Caenorhabditis elegans: one gene and its partner. The protein of the gene in region 2 interacts with the protein of the main gene of each other region in a pairwise test. Each region holds a gene or a part of one and is shown on either strand. Other genes may lie near its edges. The genes, in order: nhr-5 and nurf-1.

Evidence for each region.
Region 1: the proteins of nurf-1 (region 2) and nhr-5 interact in a two-hybrid assay, tested with the Caenorhabditis elegans proteins (one large-scale study listed by BioGRID).

What each region holds. Positions count from the first base shown.
Region 1 is NC_003282.8:15,393,468-15,410,409, reverse strand, and holds nhr-5 (Nuclear hormone receptor family member nhr-5), read right to left. Parts: upstream 10,134-16,942; 5' UTR 10,078-10,133; coding exon 10,008-10,077; intron 9,960-10,007; coding exon 9,898-9,959; intron 9,888-9,897; exon of another isoform or gene 9,867-9,887; intron 9,639-9,866; exon of another isoform or gene 9,618-9,638; intron 9,441-9,617; coding exon 9,302-9,440; intron 9,254-9,301; exon of another isoform or gene 9,233-9,253; intron 9,123-9,232; exon of another isoform or gene 9,102-9,122; intron 9,079-9,101; coding exon 9,016-9,078; intron 8,941-9,015; exon of another isoform or gene 8,920-8,940; intron 8,839-8,919; exon of another isoform or gene 8,818-8,838; intron 8,613-8,817; exon of another isoform or gene 8,592-8,612; intron 8,583-8,591; coding exon 8,410-8,582; intron 8,346-8,409; coding exon 8,100-8,345; intron 7,968-8,099; exon of another isoform or gene 7,947-7,967; intron 7,248-7,946; coding exon 7,099-7,247; intron 7,069-7,098; exon of another isoform or gene 7,047-7,068; intron 6,916-7,046; exon of another isoform or gene 6,894-6,915; intron 6,537-6,893; exon of another isoform or gene 6,512-6,536; intron 6,387-6,511; exon of another isoform or gene 6,366-6,386; intron 6,350-6,365; and 29 more. UniProt on the Caenorhabditis elegans protein: Orphan nuclear receptor.
Region 2 is NC_003280.10:14,382,963-14,396,947, reverse strand, and holds the start of nurf-1 (DDT domain-containing protein), read right to left. Parts: upstream 6,235-13,985; 5' UTR 6,229-6,234; coding exon 5,936-6,228; intron 5,265-5,935; coding exon 4,608-5,264; intron 4,510-4,607; coding exon 4,425-4,509; intron 4,365-4,424; coding exon 4,102-4,364; intron 2,722-4,101; coding exon 2,450-2,721; intron 2,263-2,449; coding exon 1,941-2,262; intron 1,627-1,940; coding exon 1,194-1,626; exon of another isoform or gene 1,141-1,193; coding exon 916-1,140; intron 874-915; coding exon 539-873; intron 1-538. Other genes in the region: kbp-3 (Kinetochore-binding protein 3), read left to right, coding at 6,883-7,036, 7,092-7,220, 7,264-7,357, 7,623-7,650; F26H11.8 (uncharacterized protein), read right to left, coding at 8,124-8,328, 8,380-8,435; Histone-lysine N-methyltransferase mes-2, read right to left, coding at 8,649-8,730, 8,963-9,173, 9,390-9,622, 9,888-10,080, 10,501-10,718, 10,763-10,911, 11,354-11,922, 12,306-12,972; sdz-26 (SKN-1 Dependent Zygotic transcript), read right to left, coding at 13,639-13,794, 13,845-13,985. UniProt on the Caenorhabditis elegans protein: Histone-binding component of a NURF-like (nucleosome remodeling factor-like) complex, which would catalyze ATP-dependent nucleosome sliding and facilitate transcription of chromatin. Involved in vulval cell fates.

The DNA of each region.
Region 1 (16,942 bases), on a different chromosome or scaffold from region 2:
TAGTTTTTCTCAAAATAACACCTTCAAGCACGTTTTTATATTTAACATTTTTTTTCTGTCGATGGCAATACAAACATACAAAAACTTTTTAAAATGAATTTGGGAAATTATTGTTTCAATATGTTGTCAAAGCTCATAAACATTTTTTAAACAATTATTGTGAACAGATAGTCAACATTACTATTATAATCATTGTTTTCACAGATCTGATTTCAAAAAAACTGAAAGTTAACAATTATTCCAAGGAAGTAATAACTTGTATTACAATAAAAATTTGATTTATGTTAGGTTCCATTACGAGCAAATTGCTATTGAAAATTCATTTCCAAACCAATTTTATAAAATAAAATTGCCATTAAAAGATTTCTGAACGACTACTGATAATAGCGTGTTGAAACGTGAATCACAGTTCAAAAAAGAAGGCGCAAAAGTGTTTTAATTCAAAAAAGCTAAAAAATAAATAGTCAGAGTTTTGAAAAACAAAGGAATCATTCGTTTTTTTTGGATTCTTTTTCTTTTTTGGTTCTTTTTTTGGATCTATTTTAGTTTGTAAGGTTAAATATTGTTTCATAGATGAAATAAAACTGATTGTTGAAATCTTCCTGGAATTTAATGATATTCTGAAACATTAGATTTTAAAATACACTGCTTCACCAAATTTAGTGACTCTGGCCGTTCACCAAAAATAGTGACTCTGGCCGTTCACCAAAAATAGTGACTCTGGCCGTTCACCAAAAATAGTGACTCTGGCCGTTCACCAAAAATAGTGACTCTGGCCGATCACCAAAAATAGTGACTCTGACCGTTCACCAAAAATAGTGACTCTGGCCGTTCACCAAAAATAGTGACTCTGGCCGTTCACCAGAAATAGTGACTCTGGCCGTTCACCAAATTTAGTGACTCTGGCCGTTCACCAAAAATAGTGACTCTGGCCGTTCACCAAAAATAGTGACTCTGGCCGTTCACCAAATTTAGTGACTCTGGCCGTTCACCAAAAATTGTCCAAATTGTTTTTTTTAATTGAATACTACGGTAGAAGTTGCTAAGAGATATTTTGCGCCACGAATGTAGATATTCTCATTATTCGACGGTTTTTATACAGAACATCTTAATATTATATATTCCCCTTTTAAACTTAAACACTGAAGAACGATTAAACTGTTTCGTGTAGACATTTGTTGAATCTGCAGATTCTGCATGGAGTTATGCCTAAAATAAAAACATTGTTGGTTTGTGGTCAGGCAGTGACCGGTTTATTGAAGATAGAACAGCTCCTAAGAGCTGGTATAAATACAGAATAAGTGGGGCCGAGAAATAGGAAGAATCTTACAACGGGAGACAAGGGGGAAGAATGCAACTTAGACTGCAAGGCAATCATTGTGATATTAAAAGTGCTATGAGTCACAAGAAAGGAATGATATGAAAAGAAAGGGACGAGTTCTCCTACAAACATAATGATAAATTCTTTTTTTTTTAATAAAAAAACTGCTTCAAGCGCGTAATTTTAGAAAAACGTAGGATTTAAATTTTTTATAAACGAATTTACAATTTTTACAGTTTCAACACTGAGACTTAAAGTTTGTTTTAATCATAGTGTCAATGGGGCAACAACAATTTCGTTACCACAACAATTTTCCAATCAATAAAAAGTTGATGTGTTTTACAAGTTCTCCATTTGCAGCACATTCCAGTCTATCAGCCTTCAGAAAAGCCCGACGGAAGAAGACTTTACCACCGACACAGCTTGATGCTCCGAGCAGCTTTTTCGGCTCTGCAGACCTGTCTCTCACCTTTTGCTTTTTCAACTTTTCGAAATAATATACAACTTTACTCTGTGGAAAATTAAATTTAAAAAAAAACTTGCCACCAATGCATTTATTAAGCATTTAGGAATTAAATAATGTTTCACTGTTTTCATAAATTTGACAAAGTTTTCGAATTTTAGTTATATCACATTTGATGACCATTTTTTAAAGAAACTCCGGTAATTTTAAGAAAATTTCATTCAAAAAGTCAGAAAACGCTTTATAAAAGCTTATGAAATCCGTGCGAGACCCATTTACCATGATTCAAGACGTATTTGTTTTCAAAAAATTTCACAAATTCTGCTGAGTCGGGTTTATTTCGAAAGTTGTAGTAGAAAATATTCGAGTACTGTTTCAGGTTTTTGTTATTATATAATTTTTAACATTTATTTGTCCAATTTCTTTTTGAGACCTTTTTTTTTAACTTTTTTCATGTTTCACTAATTTGAAGAAGCTGCCTAATTTTTGGAGCAATTGTTTTTCTATTCTCTAAAAGTATATTCTCATTTAACAAATATTTTATTCTACTAACCATTTTTCGAAATAAAGTTTACTGTTTCCGAATGCCGATAAACTTAATTGATTTTTAAACAGTTTAAATATAAATAAAAATGCCAATTTTCGAGAATTTTTGTGACAAATGGTGTCAAATATTATATAAGCTCTAAAATTTGCGAAATAATAAAAAATAAGGTAGGCACGGTAGGCATGTCCGCCTGGGAGCAAGCCGGGCTATCGTGGACCTCTCGAATTTCAAAATCTGTTTTTGTAAGGTTCTGAAAAAAAAAATTAAAAATCAATATAAAAATGCTCGGAACTAACCAAGTGGCGAGAAAAGTGTATGCTCTGTTTCACATTTTCTACATAAAATGATCATTTTTTGATGATTAAATCAAATCAATCAAGGTTTTCAAAACCAAAAATTCACATCATTCTGTAATATATATGTTGAAAATAAGAACAAACTTCGAATTCCCTAATCTGACCAGGAAAAATCGAAAAACAGAACATTTCACCGTGAAATTAGTATAGAGCTGTTAAGTGTTGAAAAAAAATTATTTAAAAAAATCTACCGTTTCAAAAACTTTACAAAATTATCAAAGATTATTGTGCTTTACTTTGCCTCGTATTATACCAGTCAAATTAAAAAAATTAAAATTTTTGCAAAACAAAAACTGAAAACACACAAAAGTTTAATATAAAATTTTATTCATAAAACCTTGAAAATCACATATTATCGCAAGAATCGCAAAGAAATTTGATAGAAATTCGGGAGAAATTACACGTAAATCATCAGCATTTGACCAAATAGAAAACCATATGAAAAGTGAAGAATTATGCCACCGGATTGTAGGAAATGTGGAGGAGGAGGGGGAAAAGAAAAGCGCCCGACATCTTACGGGTTCTGGCCCGTCAGGTGTCGGACGCTTGATCATTTGAAGACCTAATTTGCATATTGATTATGAAAATTATTTTGTTGTAGACTATTATTATGATGTGAGTATGGAATATTCGGATGATTATACACAAAACCATCATTTCGTGGAAATGGGTAACTGGTACTTTCAACATTTCCATAATTTTGCTGTTCCATGACTTGAGATGGGTAATTATTTTGCTGAAAATTCTGGAAATACTGTGGTTGTTGATACAAATTCGGATAGTTGACATTCGGTGTGTATCCAGCATTTAATGGTGGATAACCAGGTGGTGGAGGGAAATTGTAGAATGTGGAGGATGTTGTGGAGGAGGGTACTGTAGGTCTTTGGGTTACTGTAGAACCACATTGAGGGAGGTGGGATGGTCCTGGAAATGTTGAAAATGTGTTTTTTTTTCATGAGCAATGGTTTTTGGCAACTCCAGAAACACAAATTTTAGAACATGTTTTTTACTGTTTCACAATGTTAATAAATTCAAATTGTCGAACAATTTTTCAATATATCAGACCGTTTCAAATATCATTAAATCACAAACCTTGAATATTACTCCCAATTCGTCGTGTTACTGTTGAACCACTTGGTACAGTACCCAAATCCTCAAAACTGGGTCTCGAAGCGATTGCATTCGAAACGTTTGAAGCGTCAAAGTTGAGACTTATCAAATGATTCTCGGCGTGATTGTTCTGAAAAATGAATAAAATTTAATTTCAAAACAGTGTGGATACCATAGCAGAATTAGGATCATCAGACGACGATTGGGTGGAAGAGGGTGCCTGGAACACGTAGGGAGACAATGGAAAAAATGTGGGAAATGGGAAAAGTAGGTATTGTGGAATTGCTAGAAGCACTGAATAAATCTTAAAGCGAAGGAAAATATGGAGTGAGTAGAACAGTTGATTTAATTTTAGAAATACTTTTTTTTAGAAATTAACGTTCTTGTTTGAAGGATTTAAATAGTGTTAAAAACATTTAAATGTTGAAAATTGAAATTATCTGCCAACACGAGCGAACTAAAAAAATTTTAAAGTGGAAAGAAAATATAGAGTAGATGAAACAGTTGATTTAATTTTTTTTGTTTCAAAATTTTCAGTTTCTCGAGTTGTTAATATAAAATTGATTTTTAAAGCTATTCCATATAACAAATCGTCGAGAAATAAGAATTTGAAAAAAAAAACAAATTTCGTACTGTTTCAAAACGTTTATAAATATCAGTTATATAATTTCAGCTTTAATTTCTATCTTCTTTCAGATGGAACATAATAAATTTTTAATAAAAATGTAGAATAATTTGTTTTTCTTCTAAAAATTAACATTAGGTGAGTTTTAAAAAAATCATTTCTTATTAGCTAAATATAACAATTTGATTGTTTAAAAAAATAAATTTGAAAATTGATAAACTTCTATTCACTTTATGTGATTCGTTTTCAAAACTAAATCATAAATAAAGTAGATTTAAAAAAAAAACAAAACGGAAGAGTTTGGAATTGGAATTCTCAAGAAAAATTGTATGTTTCAACTAGTTTTGAAAAACTAATGACTAATGGAAAAACACAATGATGTGCAGGTCGCTTATGAAGAAAAATATTTCATATTAACTTACTGGTATTTTGAATCACTTGAAAACTGTGAAAAGAATAAGTAACTCATAAAAATTTCAGACTCTTTATGTCTCATGGGGAACTTGCAAACACAAAGGAAACGAAAAAAAAATGCTAAAAACATATAGCTCACCCTCAAATCATCCAACATTTCAGTAATGTAGAAATTGTTTGGAGGCTGCAAAAGTCGAAAATTCTGTCGAGCAGGTTCTTCGCTGTCCTCATCGATAGTTGCTTGTCGTTTCTGAAAATATTACTCGGTTAGAGAACTGCATAAAATATGAAAGAGTCTGGTATTGAATTAAATGATAGCCACGAAACAGTAAACTTTTTTTTTTCAAAAAAAAGTACAATTTCGTCAAGTTAATGTAAATCATGTTCTAATTTAAAATGTGTTGCGAGTCTGGTCTCTTTTGTATTATTGAAAACTATAATTTAAAAAAAAATCGAAAAAAATAATCATTTTTTTTGGCAGAACAATGTATTTCTACAATTTCTTGAAATTTCAAAATTCATATCAAAACTGACCAATAATGCTCTTGGAGGAGGCAACCTATCAGTTTGTGTACTCATTTCCTTCTTCTTTTCAGCTTTCGCCTTTTCCAAACTCATTGCCGCCAGCTCGTCGACTTCTTTGAAAAATGGTTCAACTGTGAAACAGCCGAATAAGTCAGTGAGAAGTGGAATTTCTCCTTGATTTGAAAATGTTTGAGCAAATTGGAGATTTTCACTCATCGCATTTGCTAGTTCCTGCAAAAATTGGGGAACATGAATTTGGAGAAGTTATGAACTATAAAAGTAGTTTAGAATAAATTCGAATGAGGCAAGTAAATATGAATCCAAAAACAAACAGTTCAGATTTATAATAAATGAATATCAAACATTGTTGAAACGGTAGATTTTCAAAATTTTAACTTTTAAATGTGTGACTGTGTAGAAGCAAAGTTAAGATTTTAATACTTTAAAATTTCATTTTCTTTCTAGTTGAACATTTCCAAAAAAATTGTGAGTTAACCCTCTACAAATATTTTTCTCGTCGTCAAATCAGTAAAAGCCTATAACGTTTAAAGCGCCTTGAACAAATCACTCGAAACCCATTGTTGCTTATCATTACACGAAACGGAAAAAAAGTTTTACCATTTTTAAAAAAATCAATTTTTAAAATAAAACAACGTTTCAAATCCCTTAAAAACTCTGTTCAACGTCAAACAAATAAAACAAATATGAACTTACTGTAACAGTAGCCAATGAAAGAAGTATATGTCCGTAACATACATTCGGTGTCGGACTTAATCGAACCTCCTTAACAATTGAAAAAAGACAATCAGCAATTCGATTTCTCAGCTCAACAATCTTTTCAAACAAAGAATCCGATACATCTTTTGCCAGAGGATTCAGACAAATCATTGCATTCACGCAAACAATTTCCTCTTCTCTCATACCATATTCCCGATATACTGCTACAAGCTCATTTAGAGCACGTTCCACGAGTCCGTTGCCGAGGTGACTGAAATTTTGAAATGATTTTAAGAAATACAAAAGTAATGAATTCTTGAAAATGCTGACTAATATAATAGTTTACCGAAACGGAACGAGAATAAACATTTCAAGTTGAAAAATTGTTCACTGTTTCAAACTTATTTGAAAAGTGCATGATCTTTTTGAGGCTTTAATTACAAGAACATCGAACCAAATAAGTGAAAATTGTCTTCAAAATATAGACAAATCAAGTATTATTCTCAAATGGCATTATCAAAATATTTTATTATTTTTTGATTTCCCCGTTAATTTGCTGTCAAACTCACACAACGTGGCGTGGCGTCATAAGTCTTAAATAAGAGCAAAGAACATATGTACATATGAAAATTTAAAGTCGTGAAAGCATTTGTACAAGTAATATTCTCAATTGGCATTATCAATTAAACAAAAAAGAATTTTTTTAGAAATTCATTTCTAAAATGAAGAAATACCTAGAAAACAATTTAGTTGATTTTTAAAAAATTTCACTGTTACACTAACATTATTTTTGTGTTTGAAATTAGGAAAAAATGTTTCTCAAATTGTTGTAAGGTTTTGTGATTGCCTCGCTAATTTTCCGTCAAGCTCCTAAATTGGACACATATGTACTTTATAAACAAATATGAATAAGAAATGTTTACTGTTTCACATTGTTAGTGAATTCTAGCTAGCTATTCTATTTAATATTGAAACTTCTCATAAAGTCCAAGAAAATAATTCAAAAAAACTAAAACTCACTATGTGTCCTCATACATTTTTGATATATTCCGTGGAACATATGCAAAATTACAAAGGCATAGAACATTCTCATCCTGACAAGCTTCTGCTGTTCTCGCACAAAAATTGAAGACCATAAGTGGGGCGAATGAAGATTTGACCAGTGCTATCTGAGGGAATATTATTAATTAAGCGTGATTTTTAAGTTAAAATTGGGAATTTTTTTGAAAACAATTTGAAACCAATTTTTTTGTGCAAATGATGTTACACTAAAAATGAAAAAAAGCTGTGTGGCGTGTACTGCAGAAAACCTAATATTTAGGCCCCGCCTTCTTCTCGTCCACTCACGGAGAAAAGGCAAAAATTTGGACCCCAACCAATATCAGGCCGCCAACATCTCACAGGTTCCACGCGCAGCTATGTTTAACTCGCAGCGGGCGGAGACAGCTCACCACGCCCACAGCGAGTTAAACGCAGCGGCGCGCGGAACCCGTGAGATGTCGGCGGTATGATATTGGTTGGGGTCCCGAATTTCGCCTTTATCCCGTGAGTAGACGAAAAAAAGGCGGGGCCTAAATATTAGGTTGTCTGCAGTACACGCCACGCAGTTTTTTATTTTAAGTGTATTTGCAGTCAACATTAGAAAAATCCTGAAAAATAAAATTTTGGAATTTCGGAATTTTGGAATTTTTTTTTAAAGACTTTTGAAACAGTAACTATTGAAAAAAGGTGTTCTGTGTCAACTTCTCACCTTTTTTTCAGCGAAATCAAAGTTTTTCAAAGAGATTTAGTATCAGGCCAGAAAGTTGAAGAAAAACTAGCAATTATAATTAAATCCACTTTAAAACTAAATTTGAGGATAAAGCCATGTAGCAAGTAATGAATGGAGAGCGCTTTGTAGAAACAAACGTCAGTTAAATAAATAGGGTGAAGCAATATTTTTTTTTTATTTTTTTCAATTTTCTAAAACTTATTTTTTCTAAATTCCATTATTTTCTCACTTTGCAAAGAATATTTATTACCTTATCCTGAGGCGTTAGGTGTCCCAACAGTGGTGACAGCGATTCAACCCAATCAATTGCAGCAATCAACCTCCGATAGGCAATTGCACATAACTCATCATTTCCAGCCATTCTGTATGCTTCATATCTCATTTCTGTTCGTTTTCCTTTTAATTGAATCGGTGTTTCAATGATATCACTGAGCTTATCAATTCCTTTCAGCGGGTACAGTTTTGATGCTTCTTGTTGTGTATCTCCTTTCATTACCTGTAATTAATAGAAATTGTGTCAGCAGCCGACGATAACCGAGGCCCCCGCGCGAAATACCTACTTTTGTCTCAATATTCAACAGTGTCATTAATATTGTTCTCATCTCAACCGTCATCTTTTTCATCCACTCCTCGCGGCTTTTTGTGGTCCTACCACGATCAGTTTGATCGCACGTGGCTACTGTAGTTGTCGGCTTACGTGGCTTTGGAGGTGCGTCTCGGTTTGGGCGGACATCTGAGATATCATATTAAATTTGAAGGATGAGTACCGTTAAAACAAAAGCTGAAACATTTATGGGAAACTTGAAACTGAAAATTTTTGAAATAATTTTTGTCTTAAAAAGGGGAGTTCAATAGTATTTAATACATTCGAAACTGCTATATTGTTCCAAATATGTTTAACTGCTTTACTGCATAATTTTTTTTTGTTTTTGCTATATTATAAACGGAAAAATTAAATATTGAATTGATATCAAAACACAAAACGTATAAAGTCTGGAAAATCAAAAATTGAAAAAAAAAACTACTGTTTCAAGAATAAAATTTACTTTCAGGTATTAACTGAAAACGATTTATTTTTATGTATATTCGAACTTATGTCACGATTTAAAAATCGTATAGAAATAAATAAAAAATTCCAAAAATTTTGGATTGAAAATAAAACTCACAAGCAGGATTCATTCCTTCGCGTAGGCACTTATTGAATCTACAGCTTCTGCATTGGGTTTTCTCTGAAAGAAAAAACACAATAAATTGACTTTGGTAAAGGAAAAACTGTTTCAAGCGCGCAATTGCATAGGTTTTATGATTAAAATTATTTAACGAATTTATAATTTTTACTGTTTCAACACTAAAATATACATTTTGACTCAAACAGAATGTCAATATGACTTTGATAGCTTTCAAAAAGTAAAAAAAAGTAAAAAACTGCGCAATTCCCAATGTCAAACTCACGCAAAACACTAACTGTACACTCTCCATTTGCAGCACATTCCAGTTGATCAGCCTTCAGAAGAGCCCGACGGAAGAAGCCTTTACATCCGACACAGCTCAGTGCTCCGTAGTGAAGAGCAGCTTTTTCGGCTCCGCATACCTGAAATGTAATTGATGTGCCCCATAATTTTTTTACTTTAATTTACGGGAATTTGCAACTTGTAGCAACGAAGATTCAGGATAAGTTTTGTATTTAAATCTTTGTCAACTTAATTTAAAATTTATAAAGCTCTGTTTCACCTTCTCCAGGAATGGCAATTGCTTTAGACAATAATATTAATTTATTGAAAAAAACTTTCCCGTCCTAACTACATATACGAAAACTCACGTGATTTTTCAAAATATGTGCCCCTTTGTGAGTGGTTCAATGATGCAAACAGACTCTAAATTCCGTAATCCGATAAAACAAAAATTGGTCACAGAACATTTTAGTGAGGAACTTTTAAAAGTGTGGAAACTTTTTTTATAGGAAAAAAATTACTGTTTCAAAAAGTTTAGAACAATTTTAGAAATTTTTGTGCAATACTAGTCTAACTTTGCAAAGATTTGAAACTAACTTTGCAAAGATTTGTGGACGAGCTGCTGCCCAAATTGCTGTCCTCGGTTTCTTCGTCAGAATCTGAAAATTTTAAAGTTTAAAAATTTTTGGTCAAACAGGGAATCATACCATTCAAAGTAATCACATTGCTACTCCCAGAATTTCTATTCACATTTGAACTGTTACCGCCAGAAGACATAATTGATGTCAAATTAAATTGAAAGACTTTGCAATGAGATTGATTATCTGAAATTGAAAAAAAAATGATTAGATGAAAAGAAAATTGAAGAGAAGATTCAAAAAATCGAAAATTTAAAAATTCCACTGTTTCAATGAGAGTGTGAATTAATGCCTGTCTTGTTATAAAATTGCTATATCTGGTTTTTTTGGTATCTCAAATGATAAGCTGGAATCAATTAAGAAATTACAAAAAATTCTTTGAAAGTAGATTTTCGAAAAAAAAAAAGGATAATTATGGGAAAAATAGAATAATTAACAACAAATATTACAGAAGAAATAAAATTTGTATTCAAAAAGTGTCATTACTGTTTCAAAAAATCAATAATTTCTCCGATTTTATATTACTGACAATAGGGGGTGTTCACCAAAATTTTAATTATTCTAAATCATTTTCAAAATTAGAAATCAAACCAAAATCAAAAAGTCTTATTTTTGAAACGATGAAAAATGCAATGCTATTCCAGAAAAGTTTTATATACACTTTTAAGAAATTTTTGGTAAGTTTGAATATGACACAATTATTGATTCCAAAAAATTATATTAAAATTTGAGAACATTCAGAAAAAGTAGAAAATTGTGAATTTTAACAATCAATTTTTTTTGAAATTAACTGAACATTTGGGATATTCAAAATACATAACTTTTTATTAAAAATAAAAATTTGAAAACTCTTGAAAACCACCATTTTCTACCGTTTCTAAAATCTCTTCTGCACCAAAAAAAAATTCGGTAAAAAATTATCGAATTTTATTTTTTCGAAACAGAAAAAATAGAAGAAGCTATTCCAAAATTCAAAGCTTTTGCGTATAAATTTCACATTGAAGCAACTTTGTAATAACGAGAAACTTAACTTCAAAATATAAGAACATTCAGAAAAAGTAGACATTTTTGAATTATAAATTATAAACGCTTTAAATTAGTTTTATGTAATTTTTTTTTGAAAATTTGCTGTTTCAGTAATTATTAAAATGGTGATGCTTATTTGTTAAATTGTTTTTACTAGCAAATGCTATGAGATTTTGGAATATCAAATTTTCTAGACCGTTTTCTGAAGTTCATTAAAGTTAATATTTCTAACAACCTCCTGATTTTTACCAAAAACCCTTAATAAATCTGCTAGCAAAAAAAATAAATGTTTTCGTTAATTTTATTACAGTTTCAAAATTATGGGATCTGGAAAAATTGTAAGCAGCAGTATTCGTCTTGTTGATTACCTAAGTTGAATTCTCGAAATATAGAAAAAAAACATTATTGCGCGGAAACACAAAAATTCCTTCCAAAAAAGTGAATTATCAGTAACCCAGAAGAGAGAAATCAATACAAAAAAGAATCAGGCCCCCTCTACCGACAAACAAGTCGCCGTCAAGTACGGTCATGTGTCTCTTTTTCTCTCTCTCTGATCAGAAGACTAGATTTTCTGATTCTCTTCAGTCCAGCACACTATCTCATGGAATAAATATCTTCTATCTTTGAACTGTGCGGTTGGAAGTATTTAGTGGAGAGAGAGAGAGAGAGAGAGAGAGAGAGAGAGAGAGAGAGAGAGAGAGAGAGAAAAGTGATGGGAAGTTGAAACTTGACCAATACGACGATTTTTTCAAATTAAGCGGGCTTCTTGCGTTGAACGATCAAAGTTTGGAGGTGATTGATTATTTGGATCGATTTGGCCTTCGCAATATATCAGAAATCGTTTTTATCACGAGAAAATTTTTAATTTCAGTAAAATGGAAATTGTAAGTAAAACGATACGAATGGGATTAAAGGAACACTGAACATTTTATGGAGGTTGTGAAACAATATTCTTTTTTTTTGTTGCAATTTTTAAAATATTCTACCGTAAGTCCTAAAGTCCTAAAGGGAAAACTTGGATCAATTTTTTGAAATATTATTAAAGACATTTTTGCGGCTTTAACACAAATTGACAAGATTATTACCGTTGAAAAGTAACAGGGTTTATGAGAATGTTGAAGCAATATTTGTTTTTTTTTTTTTGAATTTCCCGGAAATTTTAAAGGTCGTATCACTATTCTTCTAACTGTGTGGTAGAAAAGGATGAAGAAAACTTTAAAAAATGTTGCTAAATCATTGAAATTTGAGAATAAGTACATTACTCTGCACCCGACACCGCGCGGGGCTGCCCTCAGAAATCTGACAATATGTCGGCTGCTACTTTTTTATTACGGCACACTTTAGCAGAGTTTTTTTTGAGTCTGATAGCGCCCGACATCTTGCGGGTTCCCCCAAAAGGATTGTTGGTGAAATGTCGGGTCTTGTAAATTGCTTCTCAATATAAAGAGAAAAGCATTTTCAGAACTTTTCCGTATACAGGTGTTGTTAATGAAAACTGGATTCTGAATTTTTGGACATTACTCTTGTTCTAACGAGAAATAATTACATGGAAATTTTGAAACAGTAATCTTTGAAACATTTCCAATTAAAAAATTTTATTTTCTAGTCATTTGTAGAAAAGTTATTAGTGAAGTAGGCATTTTTAAATAAACTTTCAAAATGGTAGGATCTCGTACGAAAATATGTTTTACCTCTCCTCCAGGGTATCTCACTGTTGTAGAGCAGTACTCAAAAAAAGCAGAAAATCTAAGTATATGAAGTTTACCGTTTCTATCTATTACATCAAAACTGGTAAGAATATTCTAGAAAAAAAGAAAAAAAACTTTAGCATAATTAGAAAAATACTTCCCTGAACAAAATTAAAAAAAAGAAAACTCAAAATTTCGAAAAAGCACAAAGCACCTTTGTGTCCTATTAAATTTTAATTCAAATAACTGTGAAACAGTAAACTTTTTGAATTAGCATGGCACCTACTTTCAACTATAAGTAACAAGTTGTCATTGTCCTTTAAATTTTTTCAAAAAAATTTATTGAGACATTGAAACAGTTTGAAAAAATTATTACTTTGTGATATTTTCTTCAAAAATGATAATAATTTTAATACTAGACAAAATCTGACTTAAAAGTCCAAATCGTGTTTTTTAAAAATACGTTCAATGGAAAATCCGATTTACGATTTTTATTGGCTATGAGTCTAGTTGAGACTAGTTTTCTGGGAACGAATCGGAACAAAAAACTTTAAAAAAATTTCTGTTTCAGACAGAATTTTATCCACTTATTTAAATTAAAGTCAGATGGTATTCCTCGTGACTGAGAAAATAAAAACCTCATTTTTTTTCAGGAAGAGGGAGAGAAAATATCATACTGAGAAAGTTTTGAGTCTGTCTTAAAAAGGAAAATGTGAAACAATTTTTCATTCAAAACTAATTTTATCAGCAAATTTGGAACAAAACAATTTTACTGTTTCCGGTAGAAGTGAAATTTGGTTATCTCACTTTAAAATTGATAAATAGGTCGAACAAAAAATTGAAAATTTAGTCACATAGTCGAATATTATTGCAAAAAAAAAGAATCTTTTGGCAGCAGTCTACTACAATTTCATTGAACTGAGAAAAATTAGGTCAAGTTGAAGACTAGTTGAAACATTTTATTTGAGATTTTAGCTCCACTACAATCCCGCCAACCAATAATTTTTTATTTACAATTTCAAGTTTTGGAAAATTTTATGCGCCATGTTTCATAAATTCACTAAAAATTCATTCAAACTTTTGTTTGGGTTGCTTTCTAATTATTTTTTATTAAATTTCCTAAAATTCGAATTCAAAGTACTTTTTCAAATAGTTGTTATACGTTAGTCTACAAAAAATTGCAAATATGTACTTCCAAGACCCAAATTTTTTGATAATTTTAGTATCAATGCTATGTTTCCATCCTTTTTTTAAATTTTGTTTCATCAATAAGCTCCGAGTACAACTTCTAATAACTTAATAGCGAAACAATGTTTTTCCAAAAAATCTAATACTGAGACATTTTTTTGGAGAATGCCAGTAATATGTACTGTTTCACAAAAAATACGTTTTTTTTTCATTAATAAACTAGAAGCGAAAATTATAACTTTACGAAGAAAAAGTTTGAAAAAGTTGTAGTTTCCCTACTGTATAAATTAATTAAACCACTTTTTAACAAACTCCAAAAAAGAAAACGGAATCAAAGGATGTTTAAATTTACATTAAATATGCACACAGTGAAACAATTTTCAACTTCAGAAAATAAACTTTTGACAATTTTGAAAATGTGTACAGTTTCCCAAAGCGTCAGATTTTTATAATATTTGATTAATTGTTCGGCGAAAAAGAAGATAAATTAAGTTGTAAGAAAAGTCTGGTCAAATATGACTTTTTAGTGAAACAGTAAAATTTTGTTCAATTTACACATATTCCGAAAAGGAATCGAAGACGTTTTTGAATAAATCTAAATGTTTTGATGAAACAGGAAAATTTTTCAAAACTATGACACTGTCGCATATTCAAAACTCTATAATGCCTGAATTTTAAGATATTTGAGACATACGCAGGCACTAAAATATTATGAATTTTTCAAGCGACGATTCCCAATAAAGTGGCAAAACTGAGATTTTTCCAATTTTCAAACAAACATATAAAATTTAGAAAATTTCTGTGAGCGTTCTAAAGCAATCAATCCGAAAACCGAAAGATTTTTATATGTTTTGTGTGAAACGGTAGTTTTTTTAAAGACATTTTCACGGCATCTCATCAAACCATTGTGGCTCAGAAATTTTCCCGTGAGACGTCGGGCGCTATTAAATTTTTTGTTTTTCCGATAATCGAAAAAAAACCTTATCAAATCAGAAAATACAGTAAAGGTACAAAAATTCTGACTAAAAAACATCCGTAAATCAGTTATCAGTGGGGAAGAGAAAAAGTTTCTGCGACGAAATGAAATATCTCTTCTCACTTCCACCCATATAATCACCATGCCTAGGATCATCTAAATTTTCTGATAAATTGCAAAAAGTCTGATAACATTTTCATCTTTTTTGTATTCTGCCTTATCTTATCAGAAGATAATCTTAACTTTCAAAAGTCACGTTTTTTGAAATTCAGGGATTTTTGAATATTTGAAGCTTAAATTATTGCATTAAATCGTCATAAAGTAAATTTAATTATTGTTTCGTTAGAAATTGAAAAGCTTATAAAACCAATATGAAACAGCACAATTTTTCGAAATTTCAAATTTGTCTACGGAAAAGTAGAAATTTTTTAACGCGCCAAACTACTTGTTTTTTGTAATAATAAAAATATGACGTGCTCAATATCTGAACAAATTGTGCTAATTTTTTACTCCCGACATGAAACTGTAATAAAATTTTTATATAAAAATTTGGGATTACGCTTGGGATTAGATTAGTATCTTTTTAACAACGCGAGTTTTTGTTTCCCTAGAAATGAATCAAGCGCCCGACACCTGACAGGCCGCCATAATGTGCGGTAGAGTCCGCTTGACGGACCCGGTTTTTGTCGGCCGCAGACAACAAATGCAAGATGGATCTTTGAACTTTTTACACAACACTTTTACGCGTACATATTCCACAACAACTAAAACTGGAAAAACGAGTCGAAAGGAAGAAACAGAACAGCTGAGACAGTTTTTGATCCAAAATTGATTGTAAACATGGTGATGACTAGATTGTAGTGCAAGAATTGAGAAAGTGATAAGGAAAATAAATAGAAAAAGGTGTGAAAAGAATTTTGGAAGTGATGAGATTATAATTTTATTTATTTACTTTTTTGAGTTTTAAAAATAATTTTACAATCTAGATACTAGAACGTTGAATTGATATACAATTTTTGTTTCCAACATTTTTTTTTGGATTTAAAAAAAACTGATTCGTACTAATTTGTTTTCTAGAAAGTCAAATATTTGGGATTCTAGAGCTCATATTTTTTACGGTTTCAAACTTTTCTCAAGTTTGAATATTATTTTCTTAAAACTGATCTAGTGTTTCTCGATTGCAATTCTTCTGTTCCTATACTTGCACCCGTCGTGTTAATTTTTTTTTCATCTGACATAACTTCCAAAGTCTAGTTTTGCTTCAAAAAAGTTCTGTAAGAAACAGTTGAAATTTTGCATTACCGAAAAAAAATCACCGTTTCAGAATAGCCACATGAATAAAAATTGTGTTAATACCAATAATGAAATAAATTGGTCAAGAAATTTTTTAGAAAAAATTATTTTTTCTGCATTTGGTAGCGTTTCAGGAACATGAGGTTTCCAACACAGTTTACCAAGAGTGGAACGATGCAATAGAGAATGATTGTAAATTACACTTATTGTAACATCGTGAAACCGATCGAACTCGTTTTTCTCTTTTTCAAAATTTTCATTAACTTAGAATATCAATTTTCATTACATTATGGTGTTAACGAAATGTGGATCGCGGCCTGGACTTGATATGGACCACCGAAAACAGTGAAAAAAATTTATTTGAATTTCTCGAATTTCAGTTTTATTTTTTAAACGATTATTTGAAATTAACGTATAACAAATGAAAGACATTTAAATAGATGATTTTAATAATATGGCCGGAAAACTAAAACAATTCATTTAGCTCTCAACAAAAAAACAATCAGAAATAGTGGAAAATATTTATTTTGGTAACTGAGCCATATTAGTGAGCTACTGCATAGTTAAAGATTTATTAGAAACATGGAACGATGGCAGATCACAATATTTTTTAAATTTTCAGGTCCCAAATTTATGGAAAACTTGAAAAAGTATCAGAAAAAAATTGAAAAAAATTACTGTTTCAAAGCTCTTAAATATCAATTTAATTTTTACTTCAAATTGTTGAATTAAAAGTTTGTTTCAATTAATAATATTGCAAAATGATTTTAATGATAATTTTTACTAACAAAAAATTATTTGAAAAAAAAAACGCTAAAATCGAGAAGCCCAAT
Region 2 (13,985 bases):
TTGTTATTATAAAAAACACTGAAAAATCTAAAATTTTCCACGATTTTCGTAGGAAACTGTCTAATTTCAATATTATCAAAAAAAATTACCGGAACCATTTTTTCTATTTCTAAAGTATTTTTTTAATGACGATCAGAAAAAAAATTTTTTGAAAAAATTGGAAAATATTATGTTATTTCACACTTTCTCAAAAAAACTCCGCCTTGCGCTTCTTTGCACTTTTTTTTGTTGGAAAAATGTGTAAAAATTGAAAATTAAAATTGTTTGCATTTTTTTTACTTTGTCGAAAATTTTCGCTTTTAAGATTCTTTTTGCGCCTTTTTTTAATTGTGAAAAATTGATGATATTCAGTTTTCCTCTACTTTTTGAACAATTTGTATAGAAAAAAAAGATGTTGCGTGTTTTTCGCGTTTTTCCCAATTTTTCACAAAATGCTCGCATGTTCGCTTTTTTCTTAATTTCGAAAGAATGTGTAAAAATTGGAAATTTTTAGTTTTCCGCTTCTTTTCGTACTTTTTTTGATGATAAACTCTCCTACTTTTTCTGCAAAACAAAAATGCTTTTTCCTCCTCGTTTCGTCGAAAAAGTCTGAATTTCTGGTATCGGCCATGCTTTTTCTTCGCCCAAAACTCCGCTTTCCTCTAATTTTCGCTCATCGTGTGCCTGTTTAGCACTGACTAGATAACCATTTCGGCACATTGGTGAATAGCATTTCCGGTTGGGATTTGATCGGCAAGATGGCGAATAACACCCATTTGTGAGCTCAAATGTTGGTTTTTTCGAGCTTTTTCCACCACTTCGCTGTCGTTTTTTAGTTATTTTGCTGACCAGCAGCTCAAGTCGACGAGCTTTCCGGTTCGAAACGCTTTCAGTCTGAAAATATTTCATTTTTTTGGAAAACTTTTAATCTCCAACCTTTATCTCCTCAACAGTGACCGCCAGCGGTAACTTCGGTGATTCGGGAACTTGGATCCATTTTTCCACGTATTTCGCCGCCACCCACGCCCAACCACCCATCGATCCTTTTCCAGCGTTCCGATAAGTCTCTCCACGCTGTCGAAGTATATAGGTGTTCGGCCATTTCGGTTTCATGTAGTTCACTCGGACAAAACTATCATCAAGATCTTTGGTAAGGGCGTCCTGAACCACAATTTCTTGTTTCACTTTTTTTTCTAAAAAAATTGTTTACTAACCGCGTCAATCTTCTTGAGCCTCTGTTGCTCTTTCATAAAATTCTCCCTCTGATCTACAGTAATCCTTTCCAGTCGAGTTTGTCCCAATCCATTCCACCATTGCGGCATGAATATTGTCTTTCGAACGGCACAATCCAGTTTGAGAAGACATGTGACAAGCTTCTTGTAGTCATCAGCCACAGAAACTTCCAGATCGAAACCTTTGGCGAATTCAGGCCATTTCCTATGCATCAAATCTATCGGGATGTTCTTGATGACTTGTTGTAGCGTCCACATGATGAACTTGCAATGGAGGCTCGCGTCTCCGTAGAATTGCCGATTTTTCGCCACAACCCAATCGAAATTGTCGATTTGAGCGAATTTTGACGCCATATACTTCTTTTTATCCGCCGCCTTTTTCCGGGTTAGGAAGCTCTCAGACATCTCGTTTCGACTGCAATAATAAAAATTTTAGAAATAATTTAAACAAGTACATTTACAGATAATTGCTTTGAATTCTAAAAAATTTCGGTATTTTTCTAATTGGTCAAAAATTAAATTTAGAGAGAAAAATGGCAAAGAAAAAAGTTTTTATGAAACGTTTTATTTTAAAAGAAAATATAATATGTCACTTTTTTTGAAATTTAGCAAAGTTGAAGTAGACATTTTGAAAAGTTAGATTTTTAAAATTAATTCTTCTTCGATCATTCCAGTTAGTTTTTATTGTTTTTCCAAGAAATTTTTCAAATTAAATCAATTAAAGCTTACCTATAATAATTATAATACGTCATAAATGTCTGATCATTCCCCTCATCTCCCATCCGCCAGAGGTTTGCACTCGGGGCATCAAAGTTGTCCGAAATATCGACAAACTGTTCGACGAGCTCCTCTTGCGTCGCCCCACCACTCCAAAACGTGTTGATCAGTTTCGCATCGAAAATTCCAATCATTGATTCGGGCAGAATGGAATCTTCGACAAATTGAACACATTTCACTGGCGACTGTCCTTCGACGGGCTCTTCCAGCTTGACTTCTTGCTTCACCTGTCCCTTTTGAGCACAGTCCCGAAGAATTGATGCCATTCGTTTCACTGTAATAGTTTCGTTGATTAATCTGAGAGGTTCCACGGATTCAAGATCTGGTGGGATCTACGATTTCCAGATCTGGCACCGTACCAACTGCGATTTTTTTTTAGAAAAAATGCGTTGGCATCGAGCCAGATCTTGAATCTGTGATGCCTCTAATCTGAGGCTAACGGTCCATAATTATAAACTAACTGCTATCCCTATGAAGATAAATCTGCGGAGTCGTGGCTTCAGCAAAATCATATCCGATCAATTGCCGTTTCACCATCGTCTCCAATGCAGCTTCTCTCCGTTCTGACGTCATCTCCACTGTCAAAGCCATTTGCTCCAAAAACTCGTCGATTCGAAGGCGAATCGTATCACAAAGATCCTTTTCGTAATACGTTCGATCAAGTTTTTGAAGGAGTTGGTAGAGTTGTGGAACTGTTGAATAGTAGTAAAGTTCCGTTTCATCAAGGGATTGACTGCAATTATTGAATATTAATTTTTTGCCAACAATAAAATAGTTAAAGGTGGGTTTTTGCCCTAACAATGACAGAATACAGTCCCGATATACCAAATACCGTATTTCCTCTATTAGTAAAAAATGTTATACCATGTCTGTAAGAGTTTTTTTTTTGATTTGTTGAAGGATTTTATACTGCAAATTTTGGAATCTCAAAAAATAGGACAGAAATATAGTGGTGAAAAACTATGAAAGGTGCCAAACTAATAGAGGCGGCAAAACTATTTTTCGATAGATAATTTTGATGCAATACTAATAGAGGTGCAAAACTATTAGAGACGCCTTACTAATAGAGGAAATACGGTATACCGTATATTCTCTATTAGTGCTGCATCTCCAGTAGTACTGCAGTCTCTGATAGTGCTGCATTCAAAAAGTGTAGGAAAATTAGTGCTGCAGTCTCTATTAGTGCTGCGTCCCTTTTTCAATTGGAAGAGTCACTAGTAGTTTCGGCATTTTGGGGAGTTGTTTTGCATATTTTTGATTATTTCTTTTTATTTACAAACATAATTGAATTATTGGGTCATTCTTGGTACGAAAGTTCATATTTTTTGATGAATTTCTGCTAAAAATAAGAGGTTTTGTGACTAACAACTAGTATTCTCTAATTGAAAATTGCCGTTTGAAGATTAATGCTGCAGTCTCCAGTAATACTGCAGTCTCTAATAGTGCTGCATTCAAGAAGGGTAGGAAAATTAGTGCTACATGCAGCACTAATAGAGAATATACGATAACTGTTAAAAAATTATAACATTTTTCTAATTTTTTTATGATTTTTTTTATTTTGAAAAAAAGGGCTGAATTATTTTTGTATTCCCGTGCGTAATGAGTGACGGCATTTCTTCCAGCTGTTTTAATTGGAGTTTCTTTATTTTTTCTTTGTTTTATAATTTGAAAATTTTGAACGTCAATTTTTCAGACACTTTTTTTCCGTAAAAAAACCTTTTAAAAATATCATATTATTTAGGCAAATTTTAGGCAAATTTTAGAATACTTATTCAAACATTAAATTGATGTGCCAAAAAAATTAAAGTTTGTCTAAAAATCGATAATTTGGCCTCTAAAAGTGTTCTGTCCGGAAAATGTCTGAAAAATCTACAAATATTAAAACAAAGAAAAAATGAAGAAAAACTAATCAAAACATCCGAAAAAGACGTCACTTATTTGCGCGACAATTCAAAAATAATTGAGCCCTTTTTATTTTTTCAAAATTGAAACAAATCATTAAAAAATTTAGAAAAATGTTATAATTTTTTACAGTTATATTTGGTATATAGGCACGATATTCTATCATTCAGGTAAAAAAAGCACAGACGCTACTCCACTTTAAAAAACTTACACAACAAGACGTCGAACAATGAACCAATAATATCGTCCATATCTATCCCTTCCGATTGGTTGAGATCTTAACGGTTCCCGGTCGACAGCTTCATCCGGCGGCAGTACACCACGAACTGCTGAATTCTTTTTACATATATTGCATACAAGAACCTCAGGAAATGGCTTCAGATGACTGCATTCCACGTGGAAAGCGGCTTCGCATTGAGTGCAACCTACTACACGTCCTGACGATTTACCGCAAACTCGGCAGTTTTCGTCGTTCTGAAAAAAAAAACATTTGAATTTCTTTCAGTTAAATTTTTTATATAACGAGAGTTTTACCTGGAATTTTCCAACATTATTCACAAGTTTCTTAAATTCCGACGAATATAAGAAACGGTAGCTCATGAAGAGAAGGACGACGAGTCTGAAAACATGCTTAATATTAAAAAAAAAACTAAAGTCTCTTTGTATACTGCGATTTTATTTAAAAAAAAAAGGATTTTTCTTAAAATTGAATCTTACTTTGCATCATATCCCACAAACGGATAATTATCGACATTAATAGCATCTCTAACAGACGCATCAGCAAACGGGTACGCCTCAATATATTGTCGTAGAATTTCAGCGTAGGTCAGTGTATCCATATGGTGAATCATTATATTTACAGAATTGTTCGTCTCGGTCACCGAGTAGTGCGTCTGCTCTTCATCGTCGGATTTCAGACAATTACGAAGCAAAGCCATATGGACTTCTGCCATAATACATGAGTTGTTGTGCGATATTAGTGCCGCGCAAAAGTCCTCAAAAGTGAAGGGTGTGATGCGGAGAGTTCGATGATAAGATCGGAGAATCTCGTAAATTTCAACAGCATCCATTATACTAGCCGTTGGAATCGGAATATCCTGACTAGATTCTGGTAGTTCGAGTTTTGGTAGACTTGCAGGATCTTCATCCAACCACGGACAATACTTGTTCTCCTCGTCGAGACCTTTTTCGATTTTAATATCTGTTAAATTCAACTCTTCCTCTTCCTCCTGAACAACCTGATCCTCATTTAGCATGAACTCATCGTCCGAAGATTCTTCTTCTTCTTCAGAATCCTCATCCATGTAGATAATGTCTTCTTCTTGGCGTTTTAGCGATTTGCGACGTGGTGGAGTTGGATTTTTTTTGGGTCGGCTGAAAATTGATGGAATTTATTTTTAATCTGAACAGGCAGATTTATATAGCTTCTAAATATTCTTAATTTTGCAAAATTGGGATTTTTCAGAAAAATTCCCAATTTTTTGGAAAAAAAATCCATGATTGTGAAAAAAAAATCTCAATTTTTGAGTAAAATTCCATTTTTCTGAAAACAAAATTTAATTTTTTTGCGGAACACTTTATTTTTGTTTTTCTTGATTATGCAAATTGTAGCCTCGTTTTCAGGCGTTTTTCCGCAAAACTATCATAAAAAGAATTTTGAATTTTCGATTTCTGAAAAAATGAGAAAAAATCAAGAAAACCCGAAAAATTGGCCGGAGAACGCAAGCATAGTTCCTTCGGAATTTGAATATTTGCAAAAATTCGAAACATTTTGCAGTTGTATTCGGTATTACCCAGGCGCGAAAATATGATCTCGAAACGACAAATTTTTGTACATCGCAAATGGGTTTGCATAGTTTTTCTTTAAATCTAAATAATTTGTTGTGAACGACGTGAAAAAGCGTATTATACGTTTTTTCGATTGAAAATTTGACGAAAGCGGAAATATCCTAAGAATTTGCGTTAAAACTTGAAAAAAGCATTTAATTGAAAATTATCTGAAATCAGCGGAATTTCTGAAATTATTTTTCTTCTTGATTTCTCACCCTCTAGCCTTCGAGGTACTCTTTGGTGCTGGTGTTGACGCAGGTGTAGATCTAACCGAGATCTCTTCAATCTTCACCTCCACCTCCTCGGCGTCTGATGGTGTTTCCCGTTGAGCCGCACGTTTTTTTGTTGGCGGTGGACTGTAACCGTCGTCAAAATAACGTTTCGGAAGTCGACTGCGGCGTGGACGAGATGATGATGTGGATTCTGATGGGTCTTCTGAATCGGCAATTGAAGAATTTCCGGATTCAGACGGATGCTTTCGCTTTGAACGGCCACGTGGTGGAGCCATCTGAAAAAATTTCGAAACTTTTCGAAAATCGATAAGCTTAAGAATGTTCGTCAAAAAATATTGAAAGCCTCGAAAGGAATAAATTTAAAATCAAATTAGAACACTGGTAATTGTGAAAAAGAGCTTGAAATCCAAGAAAAAAAGATTTTACGTCATCATATGGTCTTTGGAGGAAAATCAATAAAATTTGCGAGAAATGACAATCGGAATATAACATTATTAGATAAAAATACATTAAAAAAGGATCCAGGATTGGTAAACTACAGTACGAAATCTTAATTTTTGAAGCTGAAAAAATCGATAATGGGATAAAACTCATTTTCCAGCGGAAAATCGGCTTTTCTCAAGTGGAAACATAAAAAACAATGGGAAAAAAGGAAAAATAATAATTTTCCGAAATTTTCCTTCACTTTTCCGTCTAAATAATCAGTTTGGACACTTTTTTGAACGCGCCGCGCCGTAAATCGACTCAGTGCGAGAGGCACACCCTAAAGGCGCACACATTTATTTGCAATGGTCGCGACGAGACCTTGGCCCTCTTGACGCGGGAATTTGAGTTGGAATTTATCTTTGCTAATTTTGCTGTCGCATTTTTATTTATTTATCTTAGTTTTTAACCGATTTTCATTGAATTTTTGCAGGTTTTTCGGCAAAATGGAGTCACTCAACGAGTATATGGACAAGATTATTAATCGTCTTAAGGCAGTCAATGAGAAAGACGAATTAGTTGATGAAGGAATGCGGAAACTCCAAAAATGCCAGGAAAAAATTATGAAAACGAGAATCGATGCTCAAAAACATATCGATGGTAAATTTGCAAGGAAATTGTTTAGATGTGTGCATAAAACAAAACATTTGTTCAGAACGCCACGAGCAACAGTCATTCGAACAACAGCTACTGAACAAAAATATGTTTGAAACTGAGCAACTGGAAGAAAAACTAAAAAGATTGGACGATGAGAACAAAATTGGAAATGAGCGGGAATTTAACAGTAAGCTGATAGTCTTTGAAACAATTTATCTGATTTACTCCAGAAAAATTGGAAGCAATATCTGCGAAGTGGACGGATGACGTCAATCTCTTGAAAACCACGCCGAATGAGCCTAACGATGGGAATAGAAAGAAATTGTAAGGGATTTAATTAAAAATAAGTTTTGTGAAGAAACTGCTCAAAAGTTTTTAAAATCTGGACTAAAATCTTCAGTTTTGCCTACTTTACTGTGTGGCTGGCAGCAGTCGGAACTTAATGTTTATTTAATTATTATTATGCGGGCGGCACTGAAGAGCGGTAAAAATTTTGATATTTCACCACCAGACTCGTTTATATAGGTCCATTTTAAAGCTATTTAACCAAAAAATCCTTCTTTATAAACTAAACGTGTATTTTTTTCAGATCGAACCTCTCCAACATCTTGGTCTAACTCTGGTTTTCATCCACGTATCAATTATGCCTTCTTTTCATGTATATTAAATCATTTCATTTATTATATTGTTATCATCATCACATTTCAATAGTTTCCAATTGTTCCGTAGAAGGTATTAGGGAAACTCTTCTCTCTTCCGTTCGAGGAAAATTTGTTCAAAAGTTCCCAGGTGTTAGCGGAAGATTGTGGATTTTCTTGTGATGTCGTGGTTTCTACAGGAGCCGGTCTCACTCTTGCCAGGGATTCTTCAGAAGAAGAGGATGATGATGAGGAAGACGAGGACGACGACGAAGAAGACGATGAAGATGTGGAGGAGGATGGACAAGAAGCAGAAGCTCTCCGATTCAAAGTTTTCGGGCAAAATTCTCCATTTGGATTCACCTCGCAATCGTGATGAATTTTCCACGCGATGAACTTGTCCAGGTACACATTTCTATAATTGGAATTTTTCTATAATATTTGGAACATTTTTATCTCTGACAACCCGGATGCAATGGGGCCTGCCTACAATCGACGCCTTTTCTCTGTCTTCCCTGGATTTTGGATCTCGCTGCAAACTTTCTCGCAGCTTTCGGAATGCCAAGCTTCACGCAAATCTCGTACGTTGGATCGATCTGGCAAAATGTTTTGAGTTTCTCAGGAATTACGGCCGGTGGTTCGATTAAGCTTCTGCTACTGGAATTTTTGTCATTTTCAGATTTTCCTGCAGAAAAAAATCCAACTTACGTTTCCGAAGCCTCCAGCAGCATGGGAAATAAGAAAAATAAGAAGAAAATCACCATCTTTAAGGAAGAAGTGAAAAAATTGTGCTGTGTCGGGCGATTTTATAGGAGGAATTTTGATTCGATTATATTTATGGTTTTCAGAAATTTGAAGGAAGGAAAATGTATTCAGAAACATGAGATTCTAGGGAAATAACAGTTAAACAAGTAGATCTTGAGATTTGAAAGTGATATCAACGGGAAAAATTTAAGAAAAAAAGTCAAGAAAAAAGATTATTCAGAAGTCATTGGTTTGGAGAGTTTCTGGCTTTTGGGCCTGCTGGGCTTCTCGGATCTCTCCTTGGTTTGGACCATCCTGGAAAAAGTTTATTCAAAAAGTCAAGTTGAAAGTCTACACAAAACTGGTTCTCGAAGCGACCGAAAATTTGCAGCTACCGTAACCAACCACAATTTTCTACGGCTTATCATGATTTTTTTGATCCAAAAAAATCTTTGTGTTATAAATTTTTAAAAATTGAGTGGAAAAAACTAGAGGGTACGGTAGCTGCAGTCGTCTCGAGACCCGAAAAGCTTTTTGCAAAATCTACCTGAACGCTATCTGATGTTCTCCAGAATAACTGTAGTCAAATGTGAGCTCTTCACTAATCTCAAGCCGTCTCTTCGCATAGAACCCAATTCGGTGCTCTCCGGCGACAACCATCGTTCTCGCGTAGCACGTCGGATTCTTGCTGTCATGATTGGCAAATCGTGCCAAGTTTCCAATTTTGTACGAATCGATCGCACCCCCGGTTTCAATGTCTGCAAAAATATTTTTTTTTGTTCCGAAAAATTGAATTTTCAAAAAAAAAGAAAACTTTTGATGGTTTTTTTTTTCGATATTTTGTTAATTTTTTGAAATAATTTTTTCTTATTTATTTGATTTTCAAAAAATCGAAATGTTGTCTCTAAAAACCCAAAAAAAATTTAAATTTAAAACATTTTTCTGCGACACCGTGATCTAAAAAAAGTACATACTAAAAATGTAGCTGCACTGATATCGATCATATATCGCACCGCGTCGTTCGGCTTCATCATCGGAAATTCGTTCACCAGTGTATTCCGTAATGAACTCGTCTTTTTCGGCGGGTTCCAACAAGAAAAGTCCATTGCCTGCTATTTTCGATGGCCCGCAATACGTTCGTTTTTGGATCATTCTAGTCATTCCAAAATTGCGGCATTTTATTATGTTCGAGTCGATGGCGTCGCATCTGAATTTGTTTTTAAATTGAGAATTTTCAGGTACAAAATTCGATTTTTCTGTGCTATTTTGATTTTATATACCTTTTTTTAAATTTGGGATTTTGATTGAAGATTTTTAATGGACATTTGGTCCTTCTTTTTCGAGAAATTTTCAGTTCGATCAATTTTTTTTGGAAAGTTTAATTTTTTCCTTTCTTAAAATTTCCATTTCTGGAAGTTCTGAAAAATTAAAGCTTACTAAAAAAACTTTTCAAAAAATTCCTGTGCACTCACTTGCACATATTACACGTCATCGGATTACATTCCCAATTGGCTCGATAGCACTGGCAAGCCTTCGTGTAGCACTGACCGGCGGCGCAATTGCATCCCGGGAATCGCTGAGAACAGTTTATATCGCATTTGCACATGTACGAGCACACTCCGTTTTCACGACATGCACAATTTTCGGCTGTCGCGTTGCATGGGCCTGAAATGTTTAAAAATTAATTTTCAATTAATGGGGTTATTAATGCGATGTAGTAAAATGTGCAAAAATGTGTTTTCATTCATTTGTGTCCAATAAATACATGTGTGTCCAATAAATACAAAAAAATATTCGTTTTCTGCATTTTTCGACATCGGTCGACAGCCCACTTCACATGCTGAAGGCGAGAGACGCAGAGAGATATGCACCCGCGGGTTTTCTCTGCGTGTCTCGCCTTCAGCATGAGAAGTGGGATGTCGCCCAATGTCGAAAAATGCAGGAAATGCCGAAAAATGTCGAAAAATGCAAAAAATTAATGCTACATTGTTCGATGCACATGGGTAGGTGAAAAATGTATAAAAACAAATTATTGCATTTTTCTACATTTCACGAATAACCCCATAATTGTTTTCCATTCCTCACCCGCATGTCGACACGCTGTGATTGGCGTCACCGCGGTCATGCGAACTTTCTCGCTATTTCGCTGAGAATCACGCATATCATCTTCTCGAATCAATTTTTCCGCATCCAGACCATCTCTCAATGCTTGAATACGCAGACTGTCGTGACGCAGCTTACGCTTCGCCTTCTCCTGACTCAACTGATTACGACGGAAGTTGTTGACTCGATCCTTGATACTTCTGAAACAATTCAATTTTTTATATAAAAAATCGCGTCAACTGACAATCTATTCGACGGTTGTCCCATTTTAAGTCGTCGGGCGCTCACATTTTCTGCCATCGACATCATTAGATGATATGCGTCACGACATGAACGAATTTTGCTTTCCTCGTCGTCTTCGTCGACATATTTTTTGACAAACTCGCAGAATGGCTGAGAATGGATTTTTTGCATTTTAAGCTATAAAGCTCGATTTTGCACCCTTTTTTCCTATTTTTCGCTATTTTTTGTTTAAAATAGTTTGATTTACATAATATACAAACTCTTAAACGCAAAATGAAAAACAAAATAACGAAAAAGGTGCAAAATCAAGCTTTATAGCTTTAAAAAAAAGAGAAAACTTGCGAGAAATTAATTTCACTGGAAATATAATTTTTCAATAAAAATGTTTCGGAGGGATCATCTCAGACCTCCAACTATCGCATGACACTATTTTTATTCCGAATTCAGGAATAGTTTTTGAACTCTTCCCTTGTTAGAAAAATTATTGAAAATTTAAAATTACAGTACTCTTCAAAGACGCACGCCTTTTCGCATTTAACAAAAATTTGTCGCGTCGAGGCCAGGTTTTGGCGCAAAAATCGCGTACTCTTACAATATATGTATTGAACACGTAAATGTTCACAATGAGCGCTCCATCTTCAATCGGCATCTTTGCAATTCTTGATTTCATGAAATAAATCTTCACTTCTTTCTGCAGAATTTCTTCAGAATCCGGCACAAGAACTTCTGAAACTTCTTTCATCGTCACCGATTTCCAGCAATTTCCAGAACACATCTTTCCATCATTTTCCGGGTTATTTGGCAGCGGAAGCATCGCATTATAGAATTCACCATTCGGAAACTCGATTGGAATTTCGGCTTTGAATCCGTGAATCGCACATGTATATGCGAGGCACGCGTAACACGTCGGATTTCGAAGATTTTGAGCACCTTCAGCGATTTTTGTCTTCTTCCATGGTTCGAGGCTCGACGGATCGAATCCTTTTTCAGCAAAGTTCTCGCACAAAACGGGAAAAGCCGACGAAAATTCTCTCTGTGAACTTTTGTTTGGCCATAGACGGTAGAGGGTGTAGTAGAATACGTCTGGGCTGCCTTGGTAGTCTTTGAGCGCAGCACGGCATAGTTTGTAGAGTATCCAATCATTGACATAGGACCAGTTGTCTGAAAAATTTAACATCAATTCGCTTAAAAAATACCTGGAGCTAAGGATTTGCAAGATTGTCCCGAGGTTTGATGCATGTCGATTTATGAAACATTTAGAACTACACGTGGACAAGTGGGAACTTGTTTTTCGCATTTTTCACTTTCAAGGCTATTTTTTAAAACTAATTTTGTGTTTGACATTCAAAATGACATTAATTGAAATAAAATTTCAAAAAAATTTTACGGCGATTTCTCACTGAAAAGTGAGAAATTAGGCAATTTGAATGTAAAATGTAAAAATAAATAGAAATAATGGTACCTTCGTCCCGCCTGTTTTTTTTTCGATTTTTGGGGGTTTCTCAGAGAAAATGGAAAAAATCCGGTATTTTGCAATTTCTCACCCGAAAATCCATGAATTCCATCTGGGAACATATCAATCAAATGCTCATAGATATTCCCATCGTCAATACCATCGCCAAAATACGGCATATGCGTGAGCCGCAGCTGATCCGGAGTCGCCACACTTTGCTCGATTGGAACCCAGTATATCATTGGCGGGGAAATGTCGCCAACCTCGATACGTGAACACGGAGCACGAAACTTCTTCATCAAATCTCCTTCCTCCGTTCGATCCGGTTTGATCCATGTAACTGTGGAATCGGAGACTTTGTAGTCGTTTTCTTCGTATTTTTCACAGTTTTTGAATGAAAATTTTGCGATAGTTCTGCCCTCTCCTAAATTTTCTTGCAGCCTTCTGCGATATTCATTAACACTGCTGCTCGCATCCTTCAACCAATCTTTGATGTCTGTGTCCAGCTCGTCTTTTACTCGAATGTCATAGTCATCTTTGATAGCATTGAAGTGGCCTTTAAGCATACGTTTACATTCTTCAATTCCTTGTTCGCACACGGTCTCCTTGATTTTTTCAGATGAAAAAATTGGCTGAATTTTCACAAAGCGAGGCAAATTTTTCGATTTCTTCGATTTTCCCATAGAAGTTTCGCACTTTTTCCCGCGCTTCTTTGTTTTTCCTGAGGGAGTTGATGTGCTGGGCTCTGAGTTGCTCATTCTGAAAGAATATTGCGTTTTAAAAAGGGAGAAAATTGTATTAAGACGAAAAAGACGAGAGAATAAATCGAAAACAAACAATTTTTAATTTTTAAAAACATTGCAAGTGTTGCGTGCAATCGCGCCCTATTGATAATGTGAAGTTGGCGCGAAGGTTTGGAATTTGAATCTGACAAGGAAAACCAAATGCTTTTTGCAAAATATGTTACCCAGGCGCGAAGTTCTGCCATTTTTATGCTAAAAATACGGTGCCAGGTCTCAACACAGCAATTTTTTGTTAAATGCGAAAATATATGCACCCTTTAAAAAAGTACATAAAAGTCAAATTTTCGTGGCCGCGGAGTTTTCATCGAATTTTTTCCGATCGCAATATATTAAAAAGCTTATATTAAATATAGAAAAAAAATCAATAAATTTTCGAAAAAAGGATTTAGGAAAACCTACTTATAAAAAAATCGATGAAAATTCCTGAGAGTTTGCAATTATGTCTTTAAAGGCACACACCTTTTTGCATTTAACCAAAATTGGTTTTGGTGAGACCGGGTACCGTAATATTTGCAAAATTTTGCATACTAACTATTACTAGTAAGGCTGAATAATTCCAAGAACAATTTTATTTGAACTTTGGAAAAATTACAAAAAAAATTTTTAAGAAAATTAAATCTATTATTGACGCGGTTCCATGCTCCGAATCTTCACCAGTAGCTCATTGATCTCTTCAGTTCGATATGGAAGATTCAGTAGAGTATTCTCCACCGCAAACTCGACAAATCGCTCCCGTGAAATATTGCAATTCAGTAGCAACTCAACGGCTCCGTGAACCTGAAAAATATTATTTTGAAAATAGAGAAAAACATCAGAGGTAAACTCACAAATCCATCGTCTTGCTTCAAGAATCCCATCATCAAAGACATGAGCACTGGCCATGCTTCTTCTCCTTCTTCCATTCCGTTCACAGCTTTTTTCACCTCCCGGAAAGCTTCAATATGCTGGGAATTCAATGTGGACTCCTC